Linked DNA regions of Tribolium castaneum. The protein of the gene in region 2 interacts with the protein of the main gene of each other region in a pairwise test. Links are inferred from orthologs where the notes say so. Each region holds a gene or a part of one and is shown on either strand. Other genes may lie near its edges.

Evidence for each region.
Region 1: the proteins of SkpA (region 2) and slmb interact in a two-hybrid assay, tested with the Drosophila melanogaster proteins (3 studies listed by BioGRID). The link is inferred for Tribolium castaneum from reciprocal best matches to the Drosophila melanogaster genes SkpA and slmb.
Region 3: the proteins of SkpA (region 2) and F-box/LRR-repeat protein 21 interact in a two-hybrid assay, tested with the Drosophila melanogaster proteins (2 studies listed by BioGRID). The link is inferred for Tribolium castaneum from reciprocal best matches to the Drosophila melanogaster genes SkpA and CG4911.

What each region holds. Positions count from the first base shown.
Region 1 is NC_087397.1:4,517,864-4,524,545, forward strand, and holds the end of slmb (supernumerary limbs), read right to left. Parts: intron 6,067-6,682; exon of another isoform or gene 5,820-6,066; intron 5,765-5,819; coding exon 5,533-5,764; intron 5,484-5,532; coding exon 5,297-5,483; intron 5,248-5,296; coding exon 4,791-5,247; intron 3,894-4,790; coding exon 3,631-3,893; intron 3,574-3,630; coding exon 3,384-3,573; intron 2,774-3,383; coding exon 2,638-2,773; intron 2,589-2,637; coding exon 2,578-2,588; 3' UTR 2,199-2,577; downstream 1-2,198. Other genes in the region: nucleoporin NDC1, read left to right, coding at 1-1,349.
Region 2 is NC_087402.1:1,036,383-1,044,240, forward strand, and holds SkpA (S-phase kinase-associated protein 1), read right to left. Parts: upstream 4,017-7,858; 5' UTR 3,939-4,016; coding exon 3,450-3,938; 3' UTR 3,357-3,449; downstream 1-3,356. Other genes in the region: mRpL23 (large ribosomal subunit protein uL23m), read right to left, coding at 1-83, 1,517-1,796, 1,845-1,858; 1,5-anhydro-D-fructose reductase, read left to right, coding at 420-539, 582-749, 801-1,505; uncharacterized protein LOC103312555, read left to right, coding at 4,301-4,303, 4,535-4,674, 4,723-4,797, 4,845-4,998; mitochondrial ornithine transporter 1, read right to left, coding at 5,105-5,418, 5,570-6,103, 6,154-6,220; protein lava lamp, read left to right, coding at 6,599-7,778, 7,828-7,858.
Region 3 is NC_087396.1:16,683,741-16,690,422, forward strand, and holds F-box/LRR-repeat protein 21, read right to left. Parts: upstream 5,827-6,682; 5' UTR 5,697-5,826; coding exon 5,666-5,696; intron 5,575-5,665; exon of another isoform or gene 5,447-5,574; coding exon of another isoform or gene 5,416-5,446; intron 5,338-5,415; coding exon 5,136-5,337; intron 5,087-5,135; coding exon 4,844-5,086; intron 4,795-4,843; coding exon 4,557-4,794; intron 4,509-4,556; coding exon 3,912-4,508; intron 2,636-3,911; coding exon 2,504-2,635; 3' UTR 559-2,503; downstream 1-558. Other genes in the region: uncharacterized protein LOC656448, read left to right, coding at 1-51, 101-398; Prosbeta4 (proteasome subunit beta type-2), read left to right, coding at 6,382-6,472, 6,520-6,682.

The sequences.
Region 1 (6,682 bases), on a different chromosome or scaffold from region 2:
TCCTTTCCGTTATTGAAAGTAGTAATCAGTCCTTAACCACTAAGTGTATTGACGAGAATCGTAGTTGTTTAGTTGAAGACGTTTTTTTCTTAATAATTGGGGGTTTCTGGACCGGTTTTTATTTTTTTACAAAAGTGTATGTTTCAACCAAGCAATTAGTGTTTCCTGTTATCCAACAGCGGAAGTTTCTGCAGTTTCGCACCAATGTTTCTGTGTTGTTTAAGCAAAGTTTGGCAATGGCCGTTTGGCCCACTTTTTATTTTGCTTTATTTTATTACTTTTGGGGGAATCAATTAGAGAGTCGTTTTGTGGCTTTGGTTAATTTGGACAGAGCTTCACGCGAGAGTAGTGTTTTAGTTTATGTTTATTTGTGGTGGTTTGCGACCTTGTATTGCTTCAGTAACAATCTGATGCGATTCTTTTTCCATTTGTTCCTCACCGAACCGGTTCAGTTTCCAATTGTTAAGGAAAATGTTTATATTTTAACTCTCCAAGAAGCCATAAACATGGATAATCTACCAATAATTCAAAACCTAGCATGTTTGGACTTATTCCTATTATCTCAATGGTCCCCAATGCGGCGACAGTTACTCTTCACTTTATCACAACCTGGAGGACATCCCCACAACTGGAACTCCTTGACTGAAAGTGTGCTAAAACTATTCTCGGACTACACCAACCTTTTGAAAAAATCTACAGAACCACCAACGCAAGAAAAACCGAAGAAACAAACCGAAACCATCACTCCATTTTCACCAGTGGTCCAATCACCTCAAACAGATCCGAGTCTCAAGTTCAGGAATTTAAGAAATTTGTCGATGAGTAGTGATTACTTGGATGTGGTGAATGTCACACACACTGGATCTTCAAATAGCGTCAAATCGTTCAAGAAAAGTATTGATGAAAGTGTCCAGAAAATTGTTTCGTTCGTGAAAATCCTGTTTGGAATAAATTTCCTGTTTGGGGAGTTGCCCCAAGTCAACATTCAGAAGTGTTTGGGGAATGGACAATTGATAATTTGGGCAAGTCAGGGAATTTCCGAACTGGCGGCTGTTTCGTTGGTTGAGGATAAATACGGCATAGTTCAGAAGGACTTGCCTGTGATTATATCAAGTTTGGTTCAGTTGAAACAGAGTTTGGACAAACTGAACAAAGTCCCGTCTTTGTCGAGGAAAGTCGCAGCTCTGGACGATTTCAATTATCGGATGAAAAATGCTGTTATTGCAGCCGTTAAACACAGTTTATTTAAAATTTGTTTGAACTTTGGGGAATATTTTAGCGATGTTCCGCTGAGTAAAGACGTCCTGCATTATTTGCAGATTAATTTTATGTTGAAAACGCCTAACTAAATGTTGCCTCAATTAAGACTGTACTGTTTTTATTTAATAAATTTTTGGGATAATTCCGTTTTTAATTGCGAAATAAAACCAGGGTTTGTCTCAGCAAAATGTATTACTTACACGCATAAAATATAAATAACTCTAAATAAAAATAGTAAATGCAAATGATGTTACCACTACATTCATAATATTTACATTAACCTATAAAATGATTTAGTGCCTTATTGATAGTGTTTTTTTTTAACATGAATAGTGTACATTCCAGTTATAGTACAAAACAGGCATACAAATTTTACTGTAAGATTTTATCACAAAAGCCGTTATAAGTTTACTTGTAAATCTAATCTAGGAGAAATACTACATTTTGGCAGAATCGTCTAAAATAAATAGCAAGAACAGCCCGTGGCCACTTCTTGGAATCCCAGTACACTTGCAGCCTCATTAAATTAATGCACCAAACAAAACAAAAAGTACTTTTGGTTGCAATCATTTTCCCATAATAAATATGGAGAACCCTAAATAATAGATCACAATTTCCAACTTGATGAAAATGATGTAAAATAATCCTAAACTAAAATTAATCATCACTGAATTCACCCCAAAATCCTATAAATTTAAAACTTACTATACAATTTTTGCCGACTAAACTCACTTTCTAAGTTTGCAAAGAATGATTACAGACTAGAAAGCCCAACAAACTGTAGAAACCGCACTATAGTGTGAGAATTTTAAAACAACTTGATTCCTAAAATAACGTGTGTAGCCTATCATTGAAATTTCATAGACTAGAGAGCTAAAATTAGTTGTTCATTTTTGCAAATTCAACGATAACGAAATAAAACAAATGTAAAACGTCAACAAGATTAATGGCGCACACGATGAAAACCGCACTTTAGATGTTTTAAACGTACTATCACATAATTCGTAGTTAAACTCATTTAGGTTACAACAGATCAACAGAGGTTTTGTGTCGACATCTTAATTCGGTCTAGGAAACACAACAGCAAAAATTTTTCATAAAGACGAAACACGTAAAAAACGAACTCCAATTATGTCAAATACGCTTCATATTATAAATTAAGACATAAATATATCCAATTTAAATATAACATTATACACAATTATTACAAATAATTTTCTAAATTTTATATTCCTAGTCAGTTTATGCGAGCACTTGCTCCAAAATTGTCTCTTCCACACTCACACACACATGATGACAAATTGGCTTCTGGACAATTTACTCAAACGCTGAAATTGGAAACGTTAAAAAATCAACAATAACACACAACCAACGTACGAGAGGGCGAAGGCGATTTCGTGTTTCTCTCTCCAATTGAGTTGAGGAAATTCCAAATAAGAATTGTATCATCGTGCGAACTGCTCACTATTTGAAACTCGTCAAACTGCAACCTGAATACTCTACCTGTGTGTTCCTGAAAACAAGAAACACCAACGTTTAGACACCCGGGAATGGGTCTCACACCCACCGAAACTTTATGAATGCAATCAGTCAAAAAATCATTTAAGACATCAATGGTATGAACACCTAATAGGCTCATTTAGCACGGTTCCTTAAACTAACGCAACAAGCATTTAACTTCAAGTGCAAAATACCTGCCAAATCGCGACTATTATGGAAAAAGAAAGATTTCGTGTACAAATGGCCAAAACAAAAAATTGTTCTTTCGATTCTATCTCTAATTATAATTAAAGTGCCATCCATTTTCTGCTCATGTTACAAAATATTTATGATACTGATGCGTTTTTCATCGAGAAAATGGTCACTTATCCCAGCAATGATACTATTTCTCAACAATTATCACTTATCAGCGAACAGTGAAGTGAAGTACATATTAACCCGTAACATTATTTCGTAACTTGAAATAAAAAACACTAAGTGGGCCCATTAAAGGACAAGCAAGCATAACAACTTTACCTGCAATCGCTCAGTTAAAAATTAGCCCTTTATTAACTCTATTAAATGAAATGTCAAGCGCTGCGTTATGATATTAGATGAATTTAATGACTGTACTATTAACTTACTACCAATGTTCGAAGACATAAAGCACTGGCCGGCGTTCTGGGATCAAGCGCGGCAACGAGATCCCAAACTTTAATTTTCCCATCATAAGCCCCGCTGACAATCCGTTTCGAATCGAAACGGATACAACGCACTAACTCTTCGTGCCCTTCAAGCACCCGCAGACAAGCGCCACCTTCGATATCCCACAACCTGGAAATCGATCGTGTTCTGTGGTTTCTTTATCGCGCATTTAACCGCAATGTTTACCTTATGGTATTGTCCGAACTTCCGCTTACGACCAACCTATCTCGGTATTGCAAACAGGCGATCCCCCGTTTATGTCCGTTTAACGTTCGCATAAACTCACAAGTTGAGGTGTTCCACACTTTTATCGTTCGGTCACCCGACGCCGAAACTATGTATTTCTCGTCGAAATCGACCACGTTCACGGCGGCCCTGTGCCCCACCAGCACCCGCCGCAGGGTGATCTCGTTCGGCGATGTCATGTCCCACACAGCTATCGAGCGATCCTGAAAAAAACAAACATTAATTCGCAAAACGGCGTTAAAAACCCATTCTCACACGTTACCTTTTCAAAAATAATTAGGTTAAACCAAATTTACATTTTATAGCTCATTTTTTTGTAAGAATCATTTGTGCAATGCCTTTTTTTTAATTAAACGCCAATACGAGCGCTACTTTAATGAATAACTTTGACCTTTTAAAGCGCGCCCCTTTTTTAGGATCGGATTTGTTCCACCCACAAGCTTTGTCCGTTTTCAGTACAATTGGCCAAGCTTTAGCTTATGCCAATAATAAATCCATTGCTATTATTAGTAAAAAGTAACTAATAATAGCCCAAGGTTTTATTGGGGAAGGAACTTGAATTAATTTTCGAACGAAAATTAATTGGCAATCACGTACCGTTTCGTAATTTATAAAAACGAATTTCATGCGATGCATTTACTTTCGTTTTTGTTAAAAATAAAACCCAAACAGGAAGTGTGAAATTTGTAATTAAGTGTCCAATTAGAGCTAGTGCACCATAAAATAAATTCTTGGACAAAATTAGAGTGCTTTCTTTTTTCAATTGTGGAGTTTTTATGTTAATGTCTCATTCTCGGATGTGACCCCGAAATAACTTTGCGTTTCATTATCATATAAATATTCCTTTGTAGTTGCAATATCCAGATATAATCCATGATTTATTGTTTTAATGGTGGAAGTAACGATAACGGGGAATATTTGTCCGTTTTTAATCCGAATTGTATTCGAGTTCAAACAGTGGGAATTTACGATCGCGATCTGCTGACGAGTCTGACACATATTTCAAGAAAAAATCCAAGACCGAGTTTCTAACGGTGGTTTAATTGCGGGCGGTTTTCACTTGGTTCGCTAATGAAGTTCCAATACGGTTTTCGACTTACTTTTGAACAGGTGACCATCATTCCGTTATTGAATCTAAGATGAAGGACGGCTTCGCAATGATGTATGAGCGTATTGACCATTTCTCCCGTGTTAACGTTCCAGACGCGCACAGTTGAATCACTAGAACCACTAATAATAACTTTATCGTCGTATTGTAAACACAAAACCGATCCCGTATGTCCTATAAGAACTTTAGTGCACTGCAATGTACTTCTGTCCCATATTTTAATAGTATTGTCCCTGAGACCCGACACGATTTTCTGATCGTCGTACTGCAAACAGTAAACCCCTTTGCTATTTTCGGACCGGCAGTTGATTCGCTGCAAGATGTGCCGACCGTTCCGCCAATTACTTTCTATGCTTTCGATATCGCGGATGATTTTCGGGAAAAGGGCTCGATAGAACGAATGGGGACGATGGTTCTCGCCAGGTCGTGGTTTGAATAAATATTGTATCCTGAAATTTGCCAAGTTAAACACCCACTAACTCGGGTTTAATTCAGTACCATTGTCTGCGTTCGGCTAAACCTCTCCACAGTGAATCCGTCCGAACTTTCCGCTCGATTAGCTTCTTCCAAAGCATACCCTCTGAGATTACCCTAAACCATTCTTTGCAGACCAACTCGGCGTTCCGTAAACTGTCCGCCTCCAAATATGACAATATATTCTCAGCGACGTGGTCCAATCCTTGCTCTGAAAGACAACTCAAAAAATCCGCTGGGACTAACGTTTCGGGACTTACTTGGTAAAAGAGATATGAAATCTCGCTGCAGCATGGGTTTCAAATAGGAATTGATGTGCCCGTGTTGGTAGTGACACATCCTAGCTAGTAAATTTTCTACGAATTCGACTTGGTCGGTTTCGCTCCATTTTTCGAAGCATTTCAGACATGTTTCTCTCTCCGCGTTAAAAGTAGCCGAAGGCTCTTTCTTCCTGGCCGTATCGTACGGTGATAATATTGTCATTGGATACTGCTGTAAAGGAAACACAAACGATTACGATGGAACAGACATCTGCAAACAAAATTACCGTTATGTTCCGAAATAAGCGAGATACGAGCTAAATTTAGCTAAACCTCAGTAATCAACATATTAGATAAAGGAAATTACAAATACCGTTTGTCGCTATTTTTATGCACCTAATGAACCCGTCTGAGAACAAATAAAACTGAACATAAACATAAAAGATAACTGTCGACGAAAAAATGATAAGACAATAATTAAATGTAAATTGTAGAAAGTTGAACGCCTTGTGCACGCACAAATCGCTGATTTACTTCTGATATCCGAGGCGAGCTTAGATGTACTAAAGGCGGGAAAAATGTTCATCTGGTGACTCTCTTTTTCCTCAACATAAGAATAATCTCATAAATAAAGCACGCTCGACATTCAGGACAAAATTAACATACACGGTACACTTGAACTAGAATGACTGCTAGGAGACAAGACGAGTTTCCGAGGACGGTTCCATGAAATTGTTTTTTCTGTTGTCTAATCGCGATCTAATATCGACACAAAACCTCTAATTAATCGAGCGTAAAAGCCGAATTTTATGAAATGGAGAAACCGCAACGTTTTCCCTCTTTAATTGCGGCGCCTAATGACGTCAATTAATTAAACGAGCTGTCTAGAAAACGTGATTTTGAAAAATTTTGCTTGTGACAACAATAATTAATTTACATTTAATTTACCATCACCGGAATAGATTGCGTTGTCATGAACCGCGTATTTTCTTACATCTTGTTCAAGGATTATTTATGGCAAAATCGATTAGTTACGATTCAATTCACTGGACGGTTTGAAATGAATTTTTTACGAGCTGCACTCAAAGACAGAGTGCAAGAAATTTCAATTTTTCGCTTTACCAACCAAATTCCATAGTTCAAAATTGTT
Region 2 (7,858 bases):
TGCTTAATAGTCGCCTCTTCCTCCTCTTTCGCTTTATTATCGACTGGGAAAAGGTCGGGAAAGACGAATTTCTCGTCCTTCGGCTTAAATGAGAAGCGAAGGCGTTAGATAATTATTTCAGTATTCTGCAGCTTTTTGTTAATTGTTATTATTTCAATCGAAAACAACAAAAAAATACTTTCAATTTCTCGAAACCAGTCCTTGAGACATACGTAAGAAGGTACAAAACAAACAATCATGCACTTGGATTACATATAAAAATTTGTAATAATCTATAAGCATTTATTTTTTTACACAATATTGTCACTGAAAAAATCAATTGCATTTTGTCGAATTGATTTCCGATTGCTTGAAAATTGCGTAATGATGGAAATTACCCAACGACCTTGAATGCTTTATCGCGATAATTGGTGACCTTCATGACAGTCCCCACTCGTCTTCTAACCCTAATAACGAACTGTCATTTCCCAAAAATGGGTCATACGTTAAAATTGAACAACGGGCACGAAATTCCTATTGTGGGCTTAGGAACGTACAAGGTAGACCTTGATTATGTAATAGCCACAATAAATGATTTTTAGTCGCCCCCAGGTCAAGTCCAGGAGGCTGTCAAAGCTGCAATTACGTGTGGCTACCGTCACATCGACTGTGCCTGGTTTTACGAAAACGAGGCAGAAGTAGGTCAGGGGATTCACGCAAAAATCGCCGATGGTACAATCAAACGCGAGGATATTTTCATAACGAGCAAAGTAAAACACTTGGATCAAGCCAAATTATCGAGTTAATTAATTAATTTTTAGTTATGGAACAATTTCCATGCGAAAAACAGTGTGGTCCCCATGTTACGAGACTCCCTCAAGAAGCTAAATTTAGACTATGTCGATTTGTACCTAATCCACTGGCCTATGGGGTTCAAAGAGACCGCACCGACACTCCCTCCGGATTCTTCCGGGTACAGTGACGTCGATTACATCGAAACGTGGCAAGGGATGGAAGAATGTGTTAAACTAGGCCTAGCCAAAAGTATCGGTTTATCGAATTTCAACAGCGAACAAATCACCCGAATTCTCCAAAACTGCACAATCAAACCGGTGGTTAACCAAGTCGAGGTCAACCCCAACATCAACCAGAAAAAACTGATCAAATTTTGCAAAGACCGCGACATTGTGGTTGTCGGTTTTTGCCCCTTGGGACGAAGCAATTACGTCGGCCTGCGCCCCAATTTCCCCACCCCCACGATCCACGACCCCAAAGTCATCGAAATGGCGAAAAAATACAACAAAACGCCCGCACAAATCGTCTTAAACTATCTAGTTTCATTGGGGATTTCGGTCATTCCGAAATCGGTCACCCCGTCACGCATCGCCGAAAACATCGACATTTTCGACTTTCGGCTAGATACCGACGACATTGCGTATTTGGACGCGTGCAACAAGAATCAAAGATGCAGCCCCCAGAGCAACCACGCCGACCACAAATACTTCCCGTTCAAAATCGAATTTTAATAAACACTTACCAGAGTCACGTACGCGTATTTAATATCCTCGTCTTTCACCACGTAACCCTTGGCCGGGACGCGTCTCGTTGGCCCCAGAGCGATCCGAGTCCGCACATCAACCACCTTAATATTGTAGATTTTTTCTAAATAATTCCTAATGTCGTATTTGGTCATTTGCATCGAACATGAGAACTGGACGATGTTAGGCGGCTGTTCGTGCGTGGGGCGCACCAATTTGAGCCAAAAGTTGGGCAAGAAGACGCGCAACTGCGGGCCCCCTCTTTGATAAATGGGGTACCTAAGGGGCAAGACTCGCACTAGGGCTAACAATGTGCTCGAAAATTACCATCTTGTGGACATTCTCGCTCGATTTGTTGAGATATTTTTGAATTAAATGAGACTAAAGTTGAGGTTACGTTGACTATGGCGCGTGCTACCAACCTGACGCCCACAGAATAACAGGTTTTACAGAAACGCATCTGTCCTTGTCCGGATAGAGCGAAAGTGTCACTAGCACATCTATTGTTGCCAGCGCGTACTAAGCGTTATCGGCGGGCGATTTGAATTGCCCGTAGTTACTTTTCTTTTAAAGTTTGATTGCATTTTTCGTATTGTTTGTAAATATTCACAACAATAGTTGCTAATAACACTTTCTGATGTTAGACAACTATTGTTGCTGAATATTTACAAAGAATACGAAAAATAAAATATGAGAATAAATAAAGACAATAAACTTGTAATAAAAATTTATTATCACTAGTCAATATACACGATACGATAACTATAAACTAATGATTGATCCATCAAATTATTTATATTCCCACAATAAAAAAGTTCAAAAAAGCACACACACGAAAAAAACCACAAAACAGTACTAATTTCACATAAAACAAAGCCGAGGGCGAACACCAAACAAACCAAGCACAAAATGGCGATTTACACAATGGCAACTGTCACAGGTCCACTGTTAATTTCTGCCGATATTATAGGTAGCTTCGCTAAAATTGACTATACGTGTGTGCGACATCTGCGATAGCAAGCCGAACTACAGTCGATTTTGAATTTGGCGCCTATACTTGGCTTGGTGCATTTAGGTTTCACCACCCTGCTGACGCCGAAAATATTCCTACTTTTTTCAAAACTACAAAAACTTGCACTTGGAGAATTAAAATAATACAATCATTGTTGTGGAACAAATGCAAGAATGCGGGATTATTAAATTAAAAAACTAGTTATTTGATAAAAAACAGTTTATTCAAAAATCGCTGATGTACACTGACAAACAAACAGAATTGGCAAGAAACCAGGTCAGTGGTTTAGCTCGTAATTCGGGGTCCCTTTGTGACACTGAAGTTACGTGCCCAAAATGACACCTTAACGTCATAATCTCAATTTGCACACTACAAATTGAATTTCCTTAATCCTAACACAATTCCAGTTTAATGAGCCGTGATGATGATTGTGACTGCGACGTTTTGGAAACGAAACAGAAGCTCAAACACATCAAATGCAAAATTATTAAATTAATGAATGAACAACTATCCAAGTCGGAAAATTTCGTGGAGGATGAAATCAAGCGAAATGGGTGTTTTACCCGAGGGTTAGTTGTGGTTAAAAAGCTGCCAATTAATTGCGAGTTGTAGGTGTTGGTGGTCCTTGTGTTCCTCCAGGACGTGGCTGTACTTTTTAGGGTTTTTAACGATGATATTTGTAGCGGTTTTAATGGGGGCGTTTATGGGGGCCCGCATTTGCGGGAACGAGGCGGGGTCTTGCGATGATTATGGCGTATTTTAACACTTGTATACTATATTTTATCCGACACCTATTATAATTGGTTAAGGTGCAAATAAACAACCAGTTGGGTCGAAATGGCGTTTGATTTAAATAATCATATTACAATAAAACAATGAACGCAATTTTGGAAATAATCTTAAATAAAAAAAATACGAGTTTACTTCTCCTCACACCATTCGTTCTCCTTGCGCACTTGCTCCTCCTCGGAGGCTGTGAAGTCGTTCTTGATGTTGAAAGTCTTGCGGATCTCCTCGGGGGCCTTGCCCTTGATCATGTTGGCGACTGTCTTGCAAGTCACATCGAGCAGCCCCTTGATGTCCAGGTAATTCGCCGCCAGGATCAGCTCAAACAAAGTGCCTTGGTCCACTTTGAGAAAATCGGCGTCCCATGACGAAATATCATCCGTGCGTTTCTCCTTGTTCTCGTCGTCTTCGGGCGGTGGAGGATCATCTTTGTGATAAGTGGACCACTGGATAACTTTCTTCAAAATCGCCGAATTGACATTGGGGAGAGGCACCACTTCCTCTTCCTCCTCGTCCATCCCCAGGTCCTCCAGCATGGTCTTGATGGTCACTGAACATTTCGCGATCTCCACGTCCACCTCGAACGTTTCACCGTCGGAGGAACGCAGTTTAATATTCGGCATTTTTCACGGTTTTTCTTCGATGACAGAATATGACAATAGACGGCAATAATGGTGGATGACAGGTGTAACGCGCAAGCGTCCCCACACGGGCGCCAGATTCGAACCAATTGTTATAAACAAATTAATTCAAAACGAGTTATTGCAGCAAATACGCAATGACGCGGCAAAATTTTCATCAAAACACGTAGCGCGTTATTTGCCTCGGATAATGTAATATGGGAAGAGCCGCAATATAAAGCTTAATTGTGCGTTAAAATTGTTGCACTTGGTTTGCGCAAGACCCCGCTCTTGATTTAAAAGAGGTGGCCCAAGAATTTGGGAGCCAGATTGTCCGTCTTCACCGCCTGTCTCCAAGCCAAACAATGGTAAGTCTGTCTGAGTCGTCTTTTTTGATTTTCTCCTTATCACCCTCTTTCTTACACATTATTTTGAAATTTTTGCGATAACACTCTTTATTGCATAAAAACAACTAATTGTAACAATCTGACGCAACAATTGACCGAATCTTTATTACTTGAAAACTTCCAATTCTTATCTAACTTGACTTCTCAAGTGTTTTGGAGCAAAACACAAACAAATTGTTATCTGATTTTTAGGGTTCCACAACAATGAAAAAGTCCATTACGGACCACCGAATCACTTTGTTGTTATTCGTCAGCATTATTTTCCTATCTATTGAAATTACCCACGGGGCTTTGGTCAAAAACCCCAACTTGCTGAAAAAAAATCATTGCAGGTACTAATTACATAATATCAGGTTTATTTAATTAATTAATTATTTAAGGACACACATTTTTTCTCCCGTGTGCCGCGGGCAGCAAAAGCGAGACATTTTAAGCCGTCTCAGTGACGAGTACAGGTAGTCATTAAAACAATTAAAGTGCAAAAGTTTGATTCATTTGTTAGGGTGCCAGCCCTGGATTCCGATTTTTCGGGGATTGACCGGTCCCGCGATTTCCCTACAATCCTTAACAGTCCGAGTCTTTTCGGGGAACTACTGAAAAAAGCCATAGAATCGTCCCCCGAGTTCGATCCCGAAAATAGCAATTATCTGAAGTGAGGAGAATAATAAAAGACAGGCCGGACAGTATTACCCCAGTATTCCTATTTATTTATTTATTGGATAAAAATAAAATATAAAAACTATGTTCGAGTTTTATTTCTAATCAGAAAATTTGGTGGAGGAATCTTTTGGAATACTCGTAAGTTGCAAAAAGAGTGGCAGTGGATGGAATAGTCCGAACTAACGTTGGAGTCAACCCGTTATAAAGCTGTCTGAAGCCTTCCCGCCTCGATATTTGCAAAATCATTGCAACCATATTCATTTTACTATTAGTGACTTGAATCCGACTTTTGGCCACATCGACTGGATAAGTCAACGTCCAGAAAGACATGCCCCCCAAAGCCCCCGCCACCATTGTCTTAAACAAGCCTATATCGTCCTTGGACTCCCCCGGACGCGCTAGCAAAGTCCTAGTCCCTAAATCACACAGTTACCAACTTGCCGAAGGGCCCATGGCTTCGCAATTAAGTTGGCAACATGAAAACTACGTAACTGTTTTCAAATCACTCAACGGTACCTGAGCACTGCCAACTTAATTTCGAAGTCACGGGTCACTCGATGATTTTACCTTCATAAGTCCCAAAAAAGAAAAAATACCCCGGCATTTCCCTAACTAACGTGGGCACAAGCCCGTGAAAAAACCCCAAAGGCCCTTCGGTCTTCAATATTTGCGCTGCCAGCTTCATGGGCCCCACTCTGACCACTTTGAACCCTTGCATTTCTTGCTGTTTTTGCGTCTCAAACATCGCTTGGAGCTTACATTTGAGAAGTTCCGTGGGGCAAATCGCCACCGAAGAGAAAAACGAGGCCAAAAAACCCGCTGTGGCATTTTGCATCATGCTTAGATCAGCCACGTGTTCGGTATAACTAACTTTTTGAATAAATTTCTGGCAAAAGCCGTAACAAAGAAACAAAACGGAATTTTCGGTAATATTTGCCGCCAAAGCCGGGACTGTACCGGCATACAAACCGCGATAAATTCCATCTGCGCGTAACGTTTTCATGAAACAATCAATCATGTTGTTGTATAAGCTTGGAAACGTCTGCATTTTTACCTTGACGGTGTCCAGGGGCTGGCCGACGTAAACCAACGCGATGCCCCCTTGAAAAACACTTTTTTCGGGTTCAAATCCCCTAACACGTGATAATTACCCAAAAAACCGGCCGTGAAATCAATGATTCCGTCTTTAGCATGGTTGTCCCTCTTAGATTCGGACATTTCTTCAGCATGGCATGTGAAGTACTGATAACAATTAACTTATCCGATAAAACCGTGATTGTTTTGATCGAGAGGTTATGTCACGTGTGCTTCAAACCCTGACCCAATTCCCCCATTTTGGCGCCCCCGCGGCCAGAATTACGCAAATTTGGCCAAAATCAAGCGAAACCACAAAGAACCCAACCTAAACAGCCCCCTTTTCCGTGTCAAATTAGTAATTTTCGGGCCGCTTTGTTGGTAGCGACGTGACGTGTAACGTCAAGTGTCAGCAAATAAACACCACTTTTCTTCCAGTTAACATATTGTGGCGAAAATAAGGTATTAGGGGCCCTTTGGTGTGTCTCGCCTTAATTTGGGGGGTGCTTTAAGGTAGCAAGCATGTCTCAGAGTCCTGGACAGGACCCAGGCGGGGGCCCCGATCCGGGGGCGCCCCCCGGTTCCAGTCAAGAACTGTCGGATCTTAAAGACCAATTCGAGCAACAGCAAGTCTTGATCGCACAACTGAAGGAAATGATCCGGAAAAATGAGCAAACTAACGTAACGCAGGAAAAAGTCGATGAGTATATGAACACTTTGTCGAAACGTCGGGCGAAGAAGTCCAGCGATAACGGCGCCAAAAAAACACTAGACATTCCCGCAAGCCAAAAAATTAACCTCCTGAGACAGCAAGTCGAGCAGAATAAGGTGAGACTTGCTGAAAGGGGGAAGAGTCAGAAAGGGATTGAGGAAATGGTGACGCAGCTCAAGGCACAATTAGACGATTCGCAACATTTAATCAGTCAGTCGCCTCTTAATTTATCGCTTCAAGACCCGAAAATTGACTATAGTGAGAATTCCAATGCCCAGGAGTTGTATGCTGTTTTATTGACTAAGGAAAAACGCATTAGTGACCTTTTGGCTAAGGTGCAGAAACTGGAAACGAACGTCCTTGACTTGCAAGAAAATTTGAAGGAGAAGGATTCGGTCATTGATGCCAGAACTAAAGCTATCACCTTGATGACGGAAAATTTGAGTCGGAAAGGGAAAAACACTCTGGATACGTTGGACGAGACCAAGGAACAGATGAGGAAAATGCAGGAGAACTTTGTGGCCTTGGAGGCGGAAATGAAAGCTCGCCAAATGAAACTCCTCGAAGATTTGAGGCTCAAAAATTACGAAATTGCCGAACTACAGGAAACCAATGCCAATTTAGAAAAACAAATAAGTGAGAAAGCCGAAGATTTAGAACTGGATTTAAAGACGGAAAATTCGCGTCTCTTGGATAAAATAAGAGAGTTGGAGGTGAAATTGGAGGAGAGTCAAGAAAGCGAAGAGGTGGCCAAGCTGAAAAAACAATTGGAAGAAGCCAATAAAAACATGATCAAGGTCAAGGCACAGCACAAATCCAAAGTTAAAGAATTGACCAAGAAAATCGAGTCGTTCAAAAAAATGAGCGACGCCAATGCGGAAATTGTTAAACTCGAGGCGGAAAATAGCCGTTTGAGTCAGAAAATCGCCGAATTGGAGGAGGAGAAGGGAAGTCTACAGTTGAAGTTGGTGGAATCTGATTCCAACAAAGGTAAAAAATTGTGCGAAATTAAACAATTTGGGGGAATTACCGGTTTTAGGTTCTGAAACAGAACGTGAAAATGAGTTGGA
Region 3 (6,682 bases), on a different chromosome or scaffold from region 2:
AGTTAGGAATCGCACACGTTCGTTAAGAAGCACCTCTCAAGACTCTGAAAGGTACCTCTGTTTGCCGAAATTTGAATTTGATTAATTTTTCTGTTTTCAGGGGACGAACGAGGAGCATGGCTTGCCAGACCCCTCACCCTCTGGATAACATTGTGATAACTAGCATCAAGACTGCTGACGACGATTCGGATTCACCCCCAGTTTTGGAGAGAGAAAATTACACACCGCCAACGGTGTCATCTTCGTCATCTAGATTGGAAAATGACGATACTCTCAAAGACTTTTTTGATTTTTTGTGTAAAACGATTAAAAAGTTTCCGCCACAACTGCAAACACAAGTTAAGGTTGATTTGTTTAAAATCGTTTCTGAAGCTGAGCTCCGGCTGCAAAGGATGTAATTAAATACCACCTGTTTTAAGTGAAGAATTGTACGGTGTTACCACGTTTAGCCGAATTTGTATTTTTTAATAAATGAATTTGTAATAAAAATTTTGTTTGTTTTGGAGCTGAATAGATAATGAAAGCTTGGTTGGAGGTTTAGGGTATAAAAACATAAGGTGAGATACCAAATATTTATTAACCAATTTGAGTTACAGGTTACATTGAAAACGTAATATAATTTTTTGATATAACATACTGATTAGAGATTAAATTTGAGAACATTTCATAACACTGAAGGAGTACATTGATAAATTTCAAAAATTTCATATCATAAAATCAACGCTACATTTTATAATTCTCTATATTCTAACTAATCTAAAAAGAAATTTTCTCAATAACAATGAAAATATTCGGGTCCGATGATACCGCCAGTAACGATATCACCGCTTCGCCATATTTAACATTAAAAGTGCGTGAATAAAAAATAAACAAATGGTGCTACAATTATTAAGATAGAGACAACTGCAGTGTACATCGCAGTGCCAAAAATAAAGGAAATAAACTTTCAAAGGATACAAAAATATACGCAAGATATTTTCCAAAATTTTAGTCAAACCGAAAATTAAAAATGACTAATTTGTCGTCCCTTGCCTTCAATCGAGGGACATCTCGATCGTGCAGTGTTGTCCTACTAGCCATTTATTGTCTACACGTTTTCGTATTTTTGATAAAATATCGATTTCATTGCGTCGTTCGATTGAATTTCTGACAACACTTAAATCTAGCTGGTGAGACCTACATTGTAACATTTGAGCGCTGTTTAACATATGTACGCTGTTAACAATGTGTCCGCTTGTACATCACAGATAGTTTCATGATAAGATGGCAACTTAACTTCAAACAATCTATCCCGGTGGAAGCGTTCGGGAGTCACCCATTCACACTCTATATTACATTATAAAGATTTTATTCAATATTCAACGCTTTGGACTAGGGTTAAGAGTTACAATAGCAGGCTAATTTCGCTATAATCACTTTGATATTCAGGTACTTGATCTTTGCTTATACACACACACATCAGCGGCCGTTTGTCCTTCCCGAGCAAATGCATTTGTTTTGGTTGAACTCTTGAAAATTTTCGCTATCACAGATGTAGACGGCCCCGGACAGAAACACGCGATATATCATTTCTCTACTAATTATCCTACGGAATAAGGTATTGGAATGGCGTCTAAACGGATTTCTTTCATTTTTATTGGTCGTGGTGTAAATATAGGAACAGCACCTTTCCGATAACAGCGATCTCGATGTGACGTGTCTTTTAACACACAAATCTCATAAAAATAAACATGTTGGTGTTTGTTGCTTACGCAGGCGGCAACAAAGAATTACATACCAACACAATAATACTTTTTGTTAAAATCGAACCTATCACAAGCACAACATATTAAAAAATAAAATGCACTATCGCATGGTGGAACACTGCAATGACATTCACACTCTTATTCGATTGTTAACTTGGTTTTGTCAGTTCTTTTGCCGTTAAGCGAGTTGAGATTGAAACGACAGTATTTTTCTTGTACAGGTACTCGGTAGAAAGCTTCAATATTATTAGCTGCATTTTGTGTGTTAACAATCGTTGTTTGTTCGAAAGTATAAGAGTTACTTATATCACAGATGTTTTTCTTCTTATCGCTACTTTATACAACAAAAATTAATTAGATCGAACACAATAACAACTTGTCATTCTTAGTCGAGCTTGGACCGTGATAATATTCATCCAACACGACGGAAAACATTTATAATCGAAAACGTAAAATCAGTGCATTTTAAGTAGACTTAAAACAATACATTTACAGCACAACAACTTAAGTCACTCAACGAAACCGATGATTATTCTAAAAAAATAAATCAACAATTCTCTCTCTTTTTTTGATTACTTTAAGTAGATTTAAACTGCGCAACTCGAGGTCGCACGATGGTCCTTTTTCTATTTACATGCAGTTGTTGAACTATAACATTCGAAAATAATACTAAACAGATTCTTCTCAGTTGGGTCGTACGTAGATGGTTTATTTACAGTTTTTTGTTTTTTTTTTTTTCGCTTAATTGTTGTACTTAACTAGTGCAGGTCAGCTAGAACTATCGGCAACAAGTACTCGTCTGAATCTCCCGCCGTCGGATTACGGATGACGGGGTGGAGATCCGCAGTCTTTGTGGGGGCCCACGGCTGCTTCAAGTGTAGCTGAATATCCTGAAAAACGGGAAAAGCTCGAGTTCAAAACTAAGAAAAGTATTGTGAATCTAAATAAAAGCGCCTTCAGCGTCTGTCACATTTACCAAATTTTGAATATTTTTTAGTTTCCTCTACGGAAAACGATAACTTAGGATCGCAGAATTTTCTGAACCCAAAAAAATAGTACGGCAGGGTATAAATGAGGGCGCTTCGAATGTTGTACCGTCTCGGCGCCTACTCGTTTTAAATTTATTTAAATCCAACCAATTCACTAATTACTTGGAAAAAATGCAAAAATGTTGAACTCTGCACTGTTAACAGACTAAGAAAAACTGCTGATTAAAATTTTCATCAGAAATATGAAAAAAAATTAAACTGAAAATTCGTCCCGTATTTTTCGAAACACTGTGAATACTGTTAAAGATACAAAAAGATAGTTGAAGAAAATTAAATTTCCTTTAAAAAACTCAGCGAGACCGTATCTCTATCATCAACGGTTTAGGCCCTCAAGACGTGGTCAAGTAACGGAGACTTTTTTTATACCTAAACTGTAGAAGATAGAAATATGGACTTTTTTGTAGAAAATTCAATTCTCTACAACTTTGTTCCTTACATTTTTTTTGTATCTTGAACCGTATTTCCAGCGTTTTGATAAATATGGGGGGGTGTGCAAAGAACTGTCGCTGAGAATTATCAATTTGCGTTTAGATATCCGTAGTTTACTCAATTAACATTAAAATTAGCACTAGTACGCACAAAGCGATTATGTTTTCATGTCAGTATTAAGATAACAAAAACTGTTAAAAGTACTGTTTAATTATTTTTTATTACATAATTATTCTTGCTTTATTGCAACTTAACTGTTACATCCTTGAACAGAAAATGAATTATTCCATCGCACATGTAGTTCATAGCTATTAATTCACCTTTTTATTACAAAATTATATTTTTACTAGAGTCTAAAATTTAGTTCAGATAATTATAGTGTATTAAATTTAATAGCACGTAATTATAATTTTTCCTGTCAGTTCCTTAAAAATAACAAAACATTTGAGCCGATGTTGACTTGTTTTAGCTTAACCGGTCATGATAAAAGATTCAATTGTTATTACGAGTCAAGGCAGTCCACAGTTTTGTTTTTTCCTGCTTTCGCAATTATTTTGCCTTAAAAGCAGTATCACCGTGGAAAAATGCTGATTGTGCAAACATAAACAATTGAACAACATCTGTTCGCATATTTGCCACAGTCTAAATAACAACAATCGGATTGAATAACTGTTGATTTTTTACTCACAATTAAATTTTCTTGCCCCAAATAATTGCTGTTCGAAAACAGCACATCGTCTTCAGCGACTTCCAACTTCTTCAATTTCTCGCCACGAAGTCTGGCGATGGCGACCAAATTCTCTTCGCGATATTTGTAACCGTAGAAGACTAATTCGCTCAAATTGGAGCACAGCCATGACATCATGACCAGTGGATCGGGGCTCAGATCCCGCTGAGACGCCAAGAACGACCAAGTTTCTTCGTTGTTGCCCATGGAATCGACCCAAACGAGGCTCCGCAACGTGTGGTTGTAGAAGGCTGAGATGAACTCCAACGTTTCGAGGTTGACATGTTCGCAAAAGAACACCCGGAGGTGGGTTAGGGGCATTTCGTCTCTGAGGATGGTTTCGTGCAGGTGTTGGACTTCGTCGTACGAGTGGATGACGTTGACGCGGAGCTCGCACTTGGGGTGTTTGGCTTTGAAGATGGTCCAAGCGGCGTTCGTGGTGCTAGGGTGGCCCTCCCGGACACCGTGCAAGTGCACCACGAGGCGCTCCAGGTGCGTGGAGGCGTCCAAGCAGCTGAGGAAGGTGTCCGAAAGTTGGTCGAAGTCTATGCTCAACACCTGAAAATTAGCCGTTTCAAACTGGTTCAATTGGCCGCGAAAACCTACCTTTAAATTCGTAAAAGGTTTAATTAAATCACATTCAAAATACGAATCTTCGTACTCGTTCGGGTTATCCTTGACTGACGCTAACCCCAGAAGTGTAACTTTTTCCGGCTGCTGGCTCCCTAAAATCGTTAAGTACTCGTCGAGGTAAAGGGCAAAGTCTTCGATGCAGCCGATACTGAATTTGGTCAAGTTAGGGAGACATCGTTTTAACTTGGCTATCACATTATGCATATTCGAACTGAAATTTGGTTTTCGTGAGACGGCTTTTTTTTTTGGGGTCGTCGTACCTGGATTTGGTGCTGTATCTCGCGATATCGAAATGGCAATGCGTGGGTTCGATAATCAGTTCTTTTAAATTGTTATTTTCGCTTAGAGTTTCGATGAGAGCGACGAACTCGTCAGTGCATTCCGGCGCCAGAGTGTTCACTTGAATTTTCGCACTGGAGACGATCCGACCGAAGACCGACGTGAAAAATTTCGACCTTTCGATATTGCACGGTTCGATTTTGAAAGTGACCTCCGGCCACCACCTGAATTGTAATATTAGCGCGATATTGGGCAAAAGAGAAAGTGACTTACTTTGGATGAAAGATGTTCTGTCGCCAATTTTTGCACACACGGGACGCATTCTGGCGGTCATTTTTGCTCAACAAGTCGAAAATGTCGTGGATTACGATCGAGGGAAGATGAGCCCAAAACGCGACTCGTTCCTCCTCTGAAGTCTTTGATTTTTTTGGCTTTGGGCAATCTCCGAAACAGGCGAAATTGTCACTGTTCATATCTAAAATTTCGCATTTTTTAGTCATTTACTTTCCCTTTTATGAAATTAGCAAGGACGTGTGTGAGGATGGAAATTTACCACTGCTTTTGCGTATCAATTTTATTGACATGATCACAACACTGTCAATACTATTTCTAATTTTAACGGAGGAACTACCAAATCACGAATTTTAAACCAAAAAGTCGAAGAAATTACTCAAAAAAATCCTTAATTTTTTTCAGAGTTAATATGACGACAGTTGACTGGGATTCTTGTGTTTTTTTATAATCAAATGGACTTGTTCACAAGAACATGCATTATCAACACGAAAAAAACACACAATACGTACCTGGTTTACATTTGTAATAATCGGAAAACATTAACAAAACTTAGAAAAACGGATTAGAGGAGTTTTACATATGTTTGATTACAATGACAGTTCGAAGCGAATTGACGTAAAGAAAAACAATGAACAGTCAGATGGGGAGGATGTGGCAACAGCGCATGTTTCAAGGACGAATGCATAAAAGTCACCTTGCCCAACAACCCCACCAATATTGAGCTAATTTTTCAAATACATCAATAAGAGCTTCACAATTTTAATATTTTTGCCGTAACAAACGAATTTCAATCATGCAATATCATCAAAAACGTAATTTGACAGTCAACAGATGAAACCCATTTTATGCGATAAAAACAATTTTTACAGTTAAATTAGTTATTCATAGATGAAGTATGTTCGATTAAAACCCACACATGCTATTTATGTGGACTTATGTACTAATTACTCAACATTTAAGCATGAACTTCCAAATTTCCCGCTTTTTGTCCACCTCCAAAGCCAAAAAGTTATATAAAAAATATTGAAAGCATTTATTGCAACAAATTCCGTATGTGGTAAGCCGTGGCTTTATTTACTCTTCAAAAATTTATTTAATAATTAATTATTTTTTAATTTCAAGCAATTGATTTGGCAACAACACATGCGCCATATTGCATGAGTTGACATTTCAAAAACGTAACCTCAACTTTTCATTACAAAGCAGTTCTTTTAGTTTCAAAAAAATGGATTGTCTCATTGGAATCAAATTTAACGATTTCGCGATTATCGCCGCTGACATGACCAACGCTCACAGCATAATGGTCATGAAGACAGGTATGTTTTTACCCCGTTTTTGACCGACAACCCTAGCGGTTTTTCAGACGAGGATAAACTCTACAAATTGTCCAACAAACTGGCAATGGCCATCGCGGGGGAGCAAGGCGACACCAACCAATTCGCCGAATACATTGCGAAGAACGTTCAGTTGTACAAAATGCGGAATAACTACGAATTGAGCCCCAAGGAGGCGTCGCACTTCACACG